Linked DNA regions of Lonchura striata. The protein of the gene in region 1 binds, or shares a complex with, the protein of each later gene. Links are inferred from orthologs where the notes say so. Each region holds a gene or a part of one and is shown in the gene's direction. Other genes may lie near its edges.

Region 1 (7,516 bases):
GGAATCAAACCCTAATTCCCACGGATCCAAGAAGAAGGGTGGGAATTGTCCAGCCTTCCCTCTCTCTGAGTGTTTGGGAAAAGGATTTCCTGGAAAAAATCCACCTGGCTGGACTGGATTTGAAGCTCATGCCACCAAAGAATCACTCCAGGCCCTGTAATTCCCATTTTTCCAGGAGGAAATGGGGGAATTATTAATTCCCTGGCTGTTGGATCTGGCCAGGGAGGACTTTGGATCTAAGGAACCTGAGGAGTTAGTTTGGATTTTTGTGGATAAAAGGGATCCAAAATTTCTCAGTCTTGGAGTCAGGGGCAGATATCCCAGAAGAGCTTCTTGTGCCAGGGTTAAACTGGGAAAAATTCCCTTTGTTGCCAGGGTTAAAGTGGGAAAATTCCCAGTCTTGTGCAAGGGTTAAACTGAAAAAAATTCCAGTTTCATGCCAGGGTTAAAGTGGGAAAATTCCCAGTCTTGTGCAAGGGTTAAACTGAAAAAAAAATCCAGTTTTATGCCAGGGTTAAACTGGAAAAATTCCCAGTATTATGCCAGGGTTAAACTGGGAAAATTCCCAGTTTAATGCCGGGGTTAAACCGGGAAAATTGCCAGTTTTATACCAGGGTTAAACTAGGAAAATTGCCAGTTTTATACCAGGGTTAAACTGGGGAAATTCCAAGTTTCATGCCAGGGTTAAACTGGTAAAATTCCCAGTCTTGTGCAAGGGTTAAACTGGGAAAATTTCCCAGTTTTATGCCAGGGTTAAATTCCCTGGCATAAAAAAATTCCTTTCTTGTGCAAGGGTTAAATAGGGAAAATTCCCAGTTTTATACCAGGGTTAAGCTGGGAAAATTCCCAGTTTTATGCCAGGGTTAAACTGGGAAAATTCCCAGTCTTGTGCAAGGGTTAAACTGGGAATTGTTTCTTGTGCAGCTCCAGCAGTTCAGCGTTATCTCCCTTTGATCCCTTCAGTTTGGGGGAGGAATAAAAAAAAATGTAGATATGGAAATAATAGAGGACGTTTAAAGAAATAAATTAAATAAATGAATAAAATAAATAGCACTAAAATAAATTTATAAATTAAATGAATAATGATTAAATTTGAAATAACTTCTAAATAAACACATTTGAAATAACTAAATTAATTCATTATAAATAAATAAATAAATAAATAAATAAATAATGAAATATCTCTAAATAACGAAATCTCTCTAAATTACAAAATATGTAGAAAACCAAACAGGATCAGAGGCATCCCCGGATCAATCCCTGGACACAGAGGGGACACCAAAAACCTGGATGCAGCCATTCCCAAACCATCTCGGATCCCAGTTTATTCCCATCCCCTCCTGGCACTGGAATCTCTGGACAAGGCCCCAATAAAATCCTCATTTTTAATGAGAACTTTAGAAATTCGATTTTCCCTTCTTCCCCCTCTCTCCAGGGAAACATCCACCACGGAGCCCCTGGAATGCTGCAGGGGAGTTTTTCCCCCTTTTCCCAAGGCCTGTGGATCCCTGTGTCCCTAAACCCACACAGATCCTGGGAATCCCTGGGAAGGATTTCCCCAGTCCCAGGCCTCCCTCAGTGGGAAAAGCAGCCAGATCCCACAAAATCCCCAGCAGCGGTGGGAATAGCTGCCCCAAAATTCCCAAATTCCCCTCAGCCTTCCCCGCTCTCCCTAATGAATAACTTTGGAATCGCTGCTGGAAAAGCAGATTTGGGATCCAGCTGGAATGGGAATGGGGTGGGAGGAGTGTGGGGGAGAACTGCTCGGAAATCCCTCAGCACCCTCCAGGCCAATCCCGCTCCCCTGGGATGGGATGGGATGGGATGGGATGGGATGGGATGGGATGGGATGGGATGGGATGGGATGGGATGGGATGGGATGGGATGGGATGGGATGGGATGGGATGGGATGGGATGCAATGGGATGGGATGGGATGTGATGGGATGGGGATGGAGATGGGGTGGGATGGGATGGGATGGGATGGGATGCGATGGGATGGGATGGGATGTGATGGGATGGGGATGGAGATGGGGTGGGATGCAATGGGATGCAATGGGATGCAATGGGATGCAATGGGATCCATGGGATGGCATCCATGGGATGGGATCCATGGGGTGGGATCCATGGGGTGGGATGCAATGGGATCCATGGGATGGGACCCATGGGATGGAATGCAATGGGATACAGTGGGACGAGATCCATGGGGTGGTTTGCAATGAGATCTATGGGATGGGACGGGATGGGATCCATGGGATGTGATCCATAGGATGGGATTTAATGAGATCCATGGGATGGCATCCGTGGGACGGGATCCATGGGGTGGCATGCAATGAGATCCATGGGATGGAATGCAATGAGATCCATGGGACAGCATCCATGGGATGGAATGCAATGGGATACAGTGGGACGGGATCCATGGGATGGGATGCAGTGGGATGCAGTGGGATGGGATCCATGGGATGGGATCCATGGGATGGGATGCAGTGGGATGCAGTGGGACGGGATCCATGGGATGGGATCCACAGGATGGGATGCAGTGGGATGCAGTGGGACGGGATCCATGGGATGGGATCCACAGGATGGGATGCAGTGGGATGCAGTGGGACGGGATCCATGGGATGGAATCCATGGGATGGGATGCAGTGGGATGCAGTGGGACGGGATCCATGGGATGGGATCCATGGGATGGGATGCAGTGGGATGCAGTGGGACGGGATCCATGGGATGGGATCCACGGGATGGGATGCAGTGGGATGCAGTGGGACGGGATCCATGGGATGGAATCCATGGGATGGGATGCAGTGGGATGCAGTGGGACGGGACCCATGGGATGGGACGCAATGGGATGAATTCAGACCCCCCCTTCACTCCCAATCCATTTGCCCCGGATCCGCTGCAATCCCCACCGGGATCGGGGGGTTCACCCCTGCGTGATCCCCCCCGCCCGGGAGATCCTTCGGGATTCCAGGGCGAGGGGAAGGCGGAGGAGGAGGCGGAGGAAGAGGAGGAGGCAGAGATCGCACCAAGAGCGGCCCTTTTTCATCCCTTCCCCTCTCTGCCTCTCACAGGAAGCCCAACTCTACCTTCGCTTGGAAAGAGCCTTTCATAAACCCAGCTCAAGGCTCCCATTCACGGCCATGGAGCTGGGAAAAAAAAAAAAAATAAGGATTTAAAAAAAACCCAACCCGAGCACCGAGCAAGCGGAGAGTTTGGGGTTTATTTCTTTTTTTTTTTTTTTTCGCTCTCCCTCTCGCTCTTTTTTTTTTTTTTTTTTTTTTTTCGGCGCTCCTAAAAAATAACCCAGAAATGCTCGCAGCGAAAATTTGATGTTTTTACCGTCTGCTCCCCGAGAGAGGAGAGACTGGAATTTTTCGCTCCTCAGCTCCTAAATATCCGCGAGAAAAGCGGGAAATAAAGGGGAAGAAAGGGGGAAAACGACCCAAAAAAATCGCTCCGAGATTGATTTTTAAAGTTGAGTGAGTCAGCCCCGAGCCCGGCGCCTCTCCGTGTTTGCCCGCGTGGTGCATCCCTGGCAGGGCTTGTAACCCTTTCCCAGCCTCGCTTCTCTTCCCAGCATGGAAAAACCAGCAGGGAATGCTGGATCCCGCCGCAATTCCCAAATAATCCCCCACACACACACACAGCTCGCTCTGGGGGAAGAGAGGGTGGGTTGGATTTTTTTAATATTTTTTTTTTTTTTCGCAGCGGAGTTTTATGAATGAAAGCTCCCGGCTGAGCCGGGAGTGATATCCCAACCCTTTTCCCGGTTTTCAGGGATCCTGGGATCTCCCGGAAAACTCTGCGCCCATGTGGGTGAAAAAAAAAATAAATAAATCCCAAAATCAAAATAGCCCCAAATGCCGAGGATTTCAGTGAATTTCGGAGTGAGGGCAAAGCGCTTTTGCTCCGGGGAGGGGGGTAAATTTAAAAAAAAAAATCCTAAAATAAAGGACGGGAAAGGGGTGGAAAGAGGGAATGGGAATTTTCAGCCCCACGTTTGCAATCGTCTTTTCCAAACTGCAGCTCCTTGGAGGCAGAGAGGAAGAGAGAAGCCAAAAATCTCCGATTTTCCCCTAAAAATAGAGAATTCCCTGCCTGGCAGAACCAACTTTTTGGGACAGCCGAGCAAAACCTCCCCAGCGCCGCCGCTGCCCCAAAGGCGACAGCGGAGGGAAAACATTCCCAACTTTTGAGGCGTTTTGGAAATTTGGGATTTGTTTGCGTGCGGCAGAGAGGAGGAGAGGCAACAAAAAAAAAGAAAAAAAAATAAAAACCCCAAAAATAAAAGGGACGGAGGGCGGGGGGGGGGGGGGGGGGGGAAGTTTGGGGTTTTTTTGTCCCCTCGGCGAGCGAAAAGATAAAATTACTGCGGCTAAAAATAAAGCGGTGGTTGAAGGTTCCCCCTCCCTCTGGCATCTCCCACCCCTTCCAGCCCTCTCCCTGCTCCCTCCCTCCTTCCCTCCTTCCCTCCCTCTCCGTGTTTGCGTTTGACAAAGAAATGATTTGAACTTCCCGGAGCCGCAGAAACTCGGGATCCCGAGGCGCAGCCGGGCCCATATGGATGTGATTTCCCAGCTCTCTCCCAGATGATCCAGCGGCACCGGGAGCCGCGGCTGCCTCTCCCCATGGGCTCCGCGGCGGAATTTTGGGAGCTGCCCGCCACTCCAGCCATGAGAAAACGAGGAAAAGCCCCGGGATCTCTCGTCGTGTGCCTCTCTGGCTGAAAGCTGGGGAGCCGAAGGAGCCAAAATCCCGCGGATCCGGGCGCACGCCGGGGAGGACGAGGAAAAAGCCGCGCCGCTGGAATTCCGAGCTCGCCTCCTGGCGCTTCCCTGCGCGAGGCTGGATGCTGGAACAGCCCCTTGGATATGGGATCATCTCTGCTGTATCCCAGCCTGGGTTTGATCCTCTGCTGCTCCGTGCTCAGCTCCGTCTACGCGCTGGTGAGTCCCGCTTTTTCTTTTTTTTTTTTTTTTGCCTTTTTTTCCTTTTTTTTGTTTTTTTTTTTCCTCCCCCCGTGGTTTTTCCCGCAGGATCCGTGCGGATCCTGCCGCCAGGAGGGAGAAATGAAGGGATGAAGGATTAAAAAGCTGGTTTGGGGGTGTTGGGAGCCGCTGGCGGGGCTGTGAGCGCTGCAGTGAAAATGTCTGTGCTTCCCAGAGTTGGGATCGCTTGGAAAGCTCAGGGCAGGACGAGGGAGGCTTGACAGGGATCCGGGACAGCGTTTGGGGCACAATTTCGGGATCTGCCTATGGAGAAACGACAACTTTGCTTCCTTTTTCATATTTTTCCCCTTTTTTGATTTCTTATTCTGCTTTTATTTTTTTCATTTATCTTTCATTTTTTCTCTTTTTCTTCCTTTTTTTTCTCATTCCTTTTTCTTTCATTTTTTTCCTTTCTATTTATTCCTTTTCCCTTCACTTTTTCTCTTCCCTTCCCTTCCCTTCCCTTCCCTTCCCTTCCCTTCCCTTCCCTTCCCTTCCCTTCCCTTCCCTTCCCTTTTCCCCTTTCCTCCACCTTTTCCTTTTTCTTACCTTCCTCTTTTCCTTCTTCCTTTTCTTTTCCCTTCCCCTTCTCCTTCTTCTTCCTCCCTTTCCCATCCCTTCCTCTCCACCCCCTCCAAGACAATTTCGTTCCCAATTCTCCTTTCCCTGCAAATCTCCTTAATCCCAATGAAACTGAGCCTCTCCTTTGGAATTCAATTTGGGAAAAACAGGGAAGTTGTAGGAACCCCTTGCACCTTGGCACTTTCCACCCCTTCCTGCACACACCAGGCTTCCCAAGGCTGGAAAACCGGGATAAATCCATCCAAACTGGGCAATGGTGTGAGACCTGCAGCTCCGAAACCTCCAGGAAGCAGGGAAGGGACATTTCCTTGGGAATCAGCTGCTGGATGTGGAGCCAGTGCTGGAATTCCCTGTGACAGGAGCTCTGCTGGCTCTCCCCATCCCTGGGATTCTCACTCCTGTTCCCATTTCCCAGCGTTTTCCAGGAAGGAGCAGGACACCCATGGGAAGTGGGATCTGCTCTCCAGGAGGGATGGAAATAGGATTGGGATCGGGATCGGGATCGGGATTGGGATCAGGATCAGGATCAGGATCAGGACCATCCTGGCTCCAGTCAGGTCCCTCCTGTCCCTTTAGGATCCACCAGCCTGGGCCTTCTCCCTGGATTTGACAGTTTGGAATCTTGCACAGAGCTGTGGGGGGATTTTCCAGCTTTTCCAGTGGGAAATTTCTCCTCGCTAAATGAGAAGGAACAGCCCCTTGGAAAACGATCCCTGCCTGAGCCCATCCCTGTTTGGTGTGTGGAGAAACCTCCCAAAACCCAAAGAAAACTGGGGAGATCAGGAGAACCACTTGGAGATTTGTTGGGATTTCAGGGATGGATGAGGCTTTTCCCAAATTCCAGGGCTGGATCAGCATCTCCTGACCTTGGGGCTGTGTCCAGGTCCTGCAGCACCTGCTGCCTCCTGCTCCAGAACTCCTGCAATTCCTGCTGCTTTGGGGCTGGGAAAATCAGGATTGGGAACCAGCCAGGCTGGAGCTGGGGGAGTTTCAGGGTGCAAAAAACCTGGGCAAGGCTGCATCTCCCATTCCCATTATTCCCATTATCCCCATTATTCTCTTTATTCCCATTCCCATTCCCATTATTCCCATTCCCATCATTACCATTATCCCCATTATTCTCATTATTCCCATTATTCCCATTCTTCCCATTCCCATTATTCTCATTATTCTCATTATTCCCATTCCCATTATTCCCATTCCCGTTCCTGTTCCCATTCCCATTATTCCCATTCCCATTCCCATTATTCCCAGTCCCAGCTCACTCCTCTCTCCCAGTATCTGCTGCCTGTAATCCACAGTGGGATTTCTTTGGGATCCCCCATCCCAAGGGATGAGCTGGGAGGTGCCCCCACGTCCCCAGCGCCGGCTCAGGGTGAGCTGGACCTGGCAAAAATTGGGAATGAGCTCTGCCAGAATCCCAGAGGGCTGCGAAATCCATGGGATTTGCTGGGAAAGCACAGGAGTTTCCCTAAAACCCCTCCTGGACCTGGATTTGCCGATCCCATGGATCCTTCCCAACTCGGATTTTTACTGGTTTCAGGTCCTGCTGCTCCAATTCCTGCTCAGTTTAGCTAGGCCAGGTTTAAATTCCCGGTTTAGACACTTCCCTTGCTTTTCCAACCGATCTTGACAGCAAAAGGAATTCCCAGATGGTTCCAAATCCATCCTGACAGTCCGGGAGCCGCTGAGATCCCGAGTGTCCCCCTTAGGCAGGATAATGTCACCCCCTGTCACCCCCATCCAAGAATCGCCTCCAGCCTGGATTTTCCCAGAGTTGTTGCTTCTTTTTCCAGCTAATTGGATTTTTAAAGGGACTCTGGAAAGAAGGAATGGGATCGAGGGTGGTCAGCAGGGAGAGATTTTATGGATTTATCCTAACGTTTGTTATTATTATTATTATTTATTACGAAATGTGTTAGTAATATTTATTATAAATGTTGTCGTT
Region 2 (6,610 bases), on another chromosome or scaffold:
AGATTTTATGTAACTGGAGAAAAGATATACTGGTAAGCAATTATATCCAAATGCAGAGTTGCCAGTAGCTGCTAAAACCAAATTGCATGAAGACTGGACACAAACTAGAACTGTGATAGGTGATGTTTTGAGAAATCCTTGTGCTATTTTTTATCCAGTTGGAAACTGTCATGGGCTTGAAGCTTCATCTGGCTGCATGAACCCAAAACCCACCTGAAGATGCCCAACATTGCTTACATAAATTACCAGACGTGCTGCTGTGGTATTTGAAAAGCCACAAATCTTGTCAATCAAATAAAGTCCTAAGGAGTTTACTGACTGCCAGTTTGGCTTTTCATTGTGTCAAGACTCAAACATTCCTTGGACACATTTAGAAAGTTGCCTCACCAATCATCCAGTGTGTCATCAATTACTTTTCTTCCCTGCTCGATGACCTACTAATATTCTTTAAGCCATAGTTGCAGTTATAAAGTATTTTATCTGGAAATACCCTCTGGAACAAGCAGTATGGGAAAAGCCTGCTATTAGAAATAGCACTACAGGAATCTCACTGCAGCTCTGAAGTATTAAATCTACAGAATGGAGAATTATGTAGGAATATTAATACACCAGATTACATAATTAATTTTTGAAAATGTGCTTTAGTCACTAAACAGTACAATTCTAGAAAGTTTTGTGTCCTTTAACCATATTGCAGTGATGTACCTCAGGATGGGTTTAATTTCAAGATGTGGTATAATATTTTCCTATGACAAAATGAATAGAATATGCAAAAAAAAGTTTTAAAATAATTCAGAATTTTTGCAATATCGTTGTTGTTCACCTACCTGGCTGTAAAATCTGTCTCATTGCTTTCCCCTTGTTTTCAGCCCTGAAGTCTGATTACATCCAATGGCACAAATTCAACGTCAGTGGCACAGCAGCTGCAAACAAAGCAACAGAGATTTCTTCATGCCCAATTGGTTCAGGTATCTGTACCATCTATAAGGGAAGGTCAGGGAAGGGTAGGTTGCTGGCTGATCAAGAAAATCTCTTGTTAGAGGAAAAGGCTGTGGTCAGCTCTTCCCTCCCACACTGTGGCTCCAGCACCTTTGGTTTTTTAGGCCTCTCCCTCATCCTTAGAAATGTCATGCCCCTGCCTGGTGTCTGTAATGCCTTCTCCAAAGGCATTTGGATAAGCCTTTCCTGTAATAAACTTTTGAGAATGTATTATTATATTGTCTCATTCCCATATAGCATTCTGTGAGTTTATCTGAAGGTAGAAGACAACACCCTACTCAAGCTTAGGTCTAGCCTGAGAAAGTTTGCTGCTGCACATGAAGAAATTGTTACACATGTGAACTAAAATCTTTTAAATATCTTTGTATTTCAGGCTAAAAAGGTGCTCATGCTCCCTTTGGAAACTCAGAATCCACTGTGTTTTTCCTCTTCTTACTCCAAGAGGAGCAAAAATTGTCTTCTATAGGTCAGGTCTCGTTTGTAGGCACAAAGAATTCCTAAGAACCTGCAGATTTTTCATCCATACTTTGCCTTTGTATTTATGTGCACAGTCCTATACATACAAAATATCATTAAATACCTTTCAATTGAAGAGATAATATTTTGATTTCCTATCTGTTGTTTCTTTTTTTGTGGTAATGCCTATAAATTTGAATAGTCTTGAGCCTCTTACTGAACAGCAGCTCAGCAGCTGTTAGCCCTGGTTTCCTGGGATCAGTTCAGTAGTGCTCTGAATTTTTAAAAGGATGCTTAAGACGGGGAAAAATTTGAATCTGAACATGAATCATCCTCTGACTGAAACATTAAAAGAGCTCAATACTATTTTCAGCTCCTCATTAAACACTGGATACACTGTGTCCAAACAAAAGTGCAAACAATTACAGTATGTGGTAAAAAAAAGTACATTCATTTGGTCCATTATCTGTCATTCCCACTTTTGATATGCCAAGTTTGGCAAACAGGGATGACATTGGATAATTTATTAGCAGCTGTATTTTCAAATAATGTAATTTTTGGATATGAGAGAGAATAATCCAAATCAAGTAAGTTATTTTTTTCTGCATGTAAACCAATGCCCATTTTGAGCTGGCACATAAAATTTCTTTAATTACCATCATAGGCTCTATTTGTTTACAAATAACGGGCACATACTGAATATTTTTATTTTTGTGTCTTCTCTCTCCTGAAATAAGCTGTATCTTTTTCAAGGCATCAAGGTATTAAGCCATCTTTGTTTGAAATTTCAGGTACGACCCATCACAACCATTGAATAAAAATGACACTTAATTTTCTAACACTTGTCCTTTACTTCAGCCTTTGCTGTCACATGCTAAAGGTTCTATATGAATGCCAGGCTTCTGTAAAAAAATTACCTTGAGAGATTCATTAAAGGTTTTGAATACATTAGAGTAAAATCTAAAAAAAGGGAGCTTTCCATTATCAACTGCATGGGGACTAAAATCCTTGCCTGTTATGCCATTCCACTGTACATTTTTAGTCACATCATACCTAGGAATATCCTCTTGTAATAGTTTAGTCATGTTTTAGCCTTCAGGTTAATATCCTGGTGTTTCCAGGAGATCCAAATCTCCCAATAAAACATATTCCCATGAGCCCCTGTATGCTGCATATAAGGAAAGGATATTGCCAGCTGACAATAAAATGCTGTAAGTTGTCTTTACTCTGTTTTCCTGAACTTGTTCAAGTGAATTGCTTCATTAATTCTCAGTTTACTCACTAATCTATAGACTGAGGGAACCATGAGATCTCTAGAGCTTTTTGGAGTTTTTGGTTCTCCCCTCCCTTTCCCCACATAATTCTACAACTCTTTATGAGATACAACAGAACTGTAACATAAGCAAAAAGCATTAATGTAAAAGCAATAATGTCTTAAAAATTCTGGGTTACAATGTGCAGGTGCAAAATGTTTTTTGTTTGTGGATGCTTGCTTGGGTTTTGGGGGAGAAATACACTGGAAGTCAGAAGAAGCAGCTAACAGGAAAAAATATCTTGCAGCAAAAATAATCTTTCTTCATGTATATGGGAAAATACTGCTGATTTACACATTTCACGTCTTAGAAAGCAGGCAGAATTCTATATTTCTTTCACCAAATTTATAAAGTAATAGTTTTTATCTCAGCTGCTTCAAATGCCTTCATTCTGCTTAGTACATTTGGTATACTCAGTGCTATTCACAGATATAGGTAAAGCAGAGCAGTGAAGGTCTAACACCATTTCAGCAACTTTTCAGTGGCACCAACTTCTCATTAAAAACTTTATCATTCTTGGGGCCTCTGCTCCTTACTAGTAAATAAACTTTATATCTGATCTGGAGAGACTATTCTTATTTCCCACAAGTATTATAAGTATTATCTTTTTAGTAGTTTGTAAAAATATTTAGTTGCAATCTTTCACTTGTAGATCACTAACCTTACTGTCTCATTTAAGTTTTACCTGCCTGCATTTAACAACTCAAAGTTTTCTTTGCAAATCCTTCCAACAGCTTCTGAGCTCACGTTATCTTGGGCAAAATTCTGAATTTAAAAGTCAAACTTCCTCACAGCTTCCCAGGACTGACTTTCTGTTGAGGCCTCTTTACCCTGTAAGTGAAATGTCAAATCAACGAAAGCATCTGAGGGTGGGTACATGAGGGTCAGGAGGGTGTGTGTGACAGTGACATCAACTGAGACAATAAAAGGGCTTCCAAGTTACTTAGAAGCTCTATTTTAAAGTTACATTTAAGGGGTCCACTAAACCAATTCAGTGGTCTTTAAATATACTTGACATCAAGAGACAGTCATCTGCTGACATACCCAAGCCAGAAATCTCTTAAACATTCTATCTGGTAAGTATACTCTTCTTTTTTCCAAGTTCTCTGGAAGACTTACTAGAATATTTTATCATTGATTCTTGACAATTCTTTACCCATTTTTGTGTTAGTTTCTTTTCAGACTATTAAAAAGTGAGTATTAGTAAGATCAAACTGTTCTGCTATCTAAACTAAATTTGTGAAATTAAAAAGTCAGAGACAGTGAACGGGAAATATCTTAAAGTGAATTCAAGTCCTGAATTTATAATCTTGTGTTGGATGGACTGCCAGGACCTCACTGATATGGTCATGTAAGAGACCATATTATAAATGCTTTTCTGACCTAGAGCAAAGCTGCAGAAACTATTGCAAAAAATGGCATTGTGGAGTTTTATACCTCTTTAGGTTTCAGTTACACTGTATCAAATTTCTTAAGTGGTAACAAAAAGATGCCTTTTTTGCCTGCCGATACTGAAAATCCAGACTAGAAACTGGTATTGGAACTGTGCTGTTTTGCCTGTTGTAGCATCATCAGTGGTAAATATTTTCTAAATATATTCCAAATGGCAGTTCTGCCAATGATGTAAAACTCAGAGGGGAAATGCAGGATTATCCCTGATAAAATGAGGGGCTTAATTCTGATTTTTCTTCTGCAACTCAGTAGGGACTGGGGTAACTCAGTAGAGTTATGCCTTTATGCAAAATTTTCAGGGAAAGTGTCACCCTCTTCATTCTAAAGAATACACGGAAGAAATAGAGAAATAGAGAAAGTTTTATTCTATAAAATTTTTCATTTGAATAGCTATACATAAGTATTTCACTGGACTTGAAGGCTCCAAATTCATAATGATGATGGTGATGACTATAACAATAATATTGGAAGACTGTGGTGCTTTTCACCCAATTATGCAAGAGATAGGTACCTAGATGATGATGATGATGATAATGATAATGATAATGATAATGCAGGGCAGCTAAAGCTGACCAAAATTAATGGAGTTGCCCAGGAAGTACAATAAGTTGCTCACAAAATGAGTATTAGAAGTAAATCCTTCATTTGCATTCCTTGCTCTAACTCGTTTCACAAAAAAGATTTTTCAAAAACTCTTGTCTGAGTTTTTCAACTTTTTTCCTAATTTCAGTATGTTTGGAACAAACAGAAATAACTTGAATTACAGACTTTACATGTATTCATTTCTATCTTTGTAGACAAAATGACTTCTATAAGAAACCTGGCCCAGGCTGCAATCATTTTATGTGCCATGTGCTTTTTTACAACCTCTGATGGAAGACCAATGGTGTAAGTATATTGTCTCACACTAAATGGCTTTTGCTGCTCCTGAGAATGTGGTGGTTTGTCTTTGCATATGTGTGTGAGTTCTGTCCCTCCTTTTGAACCCTTCAGCCAAGCTGGCCAAACTCTGTTCTCTGGAAATAGCTGTGGAGATCTCAGGCACTCTGTATATATATTTTTTGAAAATAGGCAGCTGAGTAGAGGGATATACATCATGTAAGTCTTCTCTTATTATTTAAGTTGGATAAGCTCCATGTCTTGGGGGTCTACACAAGTGAACATCTTTCGTGCTGAGAGAATCCAGCTGAAACTCACACTTAGGCACTAACATCTACCAGCTGAGACACAAATCCACAGGGAATCATGCTTCCTTAGCTTTAGTGATCACAGAAAACTACCACTGAATAAATGCCATGGATTCATTGATCACATATCTAACATTGTAAAAGTCCTAAGCTCCTCTACAATAGCTGAACTAAATTATAGAAGCAATATTGTCACAAAACTGAACTACTTCCCACTTGCGATGCCTTCTCACTGATACATCCATTACCAATAACAAATCACCACCCACCCTCCCTCTCTTCTCCAGATGTCATTCTATGCCCTACAGATCAGCCAGGCAGCTCCTACAGCTATGTACTGTGATTCCTTACAAAAGTTCCCAAAGCTGGGCCTTTGAGGCGAGGTCTGGAACCCAAGAAGGGCTCCCACGGGCCTGTCTTTGCTTTGCTTTGCTGCAGGAGAAGGTCGGTGAGCGAGATGCAGTTGATGCACAACCTGGGCGAGCACCGGCACGCGGTGGAGAGGCAGGACTGGCTGCAGATGAAGCTGCAGGACGTGCACAGCGCCCTGGAGGACGCTCGCACCCAGAGGCCTCGGAGCAAGGACGACGTCGTGCTGGGCCGGAGGCTGCTCCCGGAGCGCCTGCGGGCAGCAGGGCAGAAGAAATCCGTGGATCTGGACAAGGCTTACATGGATGTCCTCTTTAAAACAAAGCCCTAGGGAGAGCAGCCAGAGCGCTGTGTCTGTCCACGTGAGCACTGTCCGTGTAGCGTTGATCAAGTAGGGCATTTCATTCATATTTATTCCAGCTGCAGTAAGGATTAAAGGCTTTGTTCAAGGCTGTAGTCCCTCTGAGTGAGGTATTTTACAAGCAAATTATAGAATGTATTTACAGTCTACCCAGGACCACTGCTGGGGGCATTTTGGCTGATGTATCTTATAAATTGCCAGCATGAAAGGAAAAATAAACCCAGATCAGTAAGAAAGCTGGAAAACCATTTAAGGCCAGTTCTACAACTCTTACATGGGCAGTATTTGTGTGTAATCACCAAGCCTGCTTGTACTGTTAACCAGGAAGGAATAAATGCAGGGGAGACTGTCTCCAGAAAATGGCTTAGGGTTAAACTTTGTTTAACTTTGTACTAATGGAAATACATGAATTAAACCCACATCTATTTTCAGAAGAAGGCCTAAAATCAGATTAACATTAAGTACACAGCAAA

Evidence for each region. The genes of interacting proteins can lie anywhere in the genome.
Region 2: the proteins of PTH1R (region 1) and PTH are in contact, whole or in part, in a cryo-EM structure (PDB 9JR3), measured with the Homo sapiens proteins. The link is inferred for Lonchura striata from reciprocal best matches to the Homo sapiens genes PTH1R and PTH. Residues at the interface, in NP_000307.1 of Homo sapiens: Val31, Met32, Thr33, Lys34, Glu35, Gln37, Ile38, Leu41, Glu111, Trp112, Asp113, His114, Ile115, Ile135, Tyr136, Asp137, Phe138, Arg146, Arg162, Thr163, Ala165, Tyr167, Val171, Leu174, Thr175, Glu177, Glu180, Arg181, Phe184, Leu187; in NP_000306.1 of Homo sapiens: Ser32, Val33, Ser34, Glu35, Ile36, Gln37, Leu38, Met39, His40, Asn41, Leu42, Gly43, Lys44, His45, Leu46, Asn47, Glu50, Arg51, Val52, Glu53, Trp54, Leu55, Arg56, Lys58, Leu59, Asp61, Val62, His63, Asn64, Phe65.

Annotation. Positions count from the first base shown.
Region 1 is NC_134603.1:155,828,949-155,836,464, forward strand, and holds the start of PTH1R (parathyroid hormone/parathyroid hormone-related peptide receptor), read left to right. Parts: upstream 1-4,499; 5' UTR 4,500-4,869; coding exon 4,870-4,944; intron 4,945-7,516.
Region 2 is NC_134608.1:58,837,860-58,844,469, reverse strand, and holds PTH (parathyroid hormone), read left to right. Parts: upstream 1-5,013; 5' UTR 5,014-5,022; coding exon 5,023-5,108; exon of another isoform or gene 5,109-5,845; coding exon 5,846-6,107; downstream 6,108-6,610. UniProt on the Homo sapiens protein: Parathyroid hormone elevates calcium level by dissolving the salts in bone and preventing their renal excretion. Acts by binding to its receptor, PTH1R, activating G protein-coupled receptor signaling.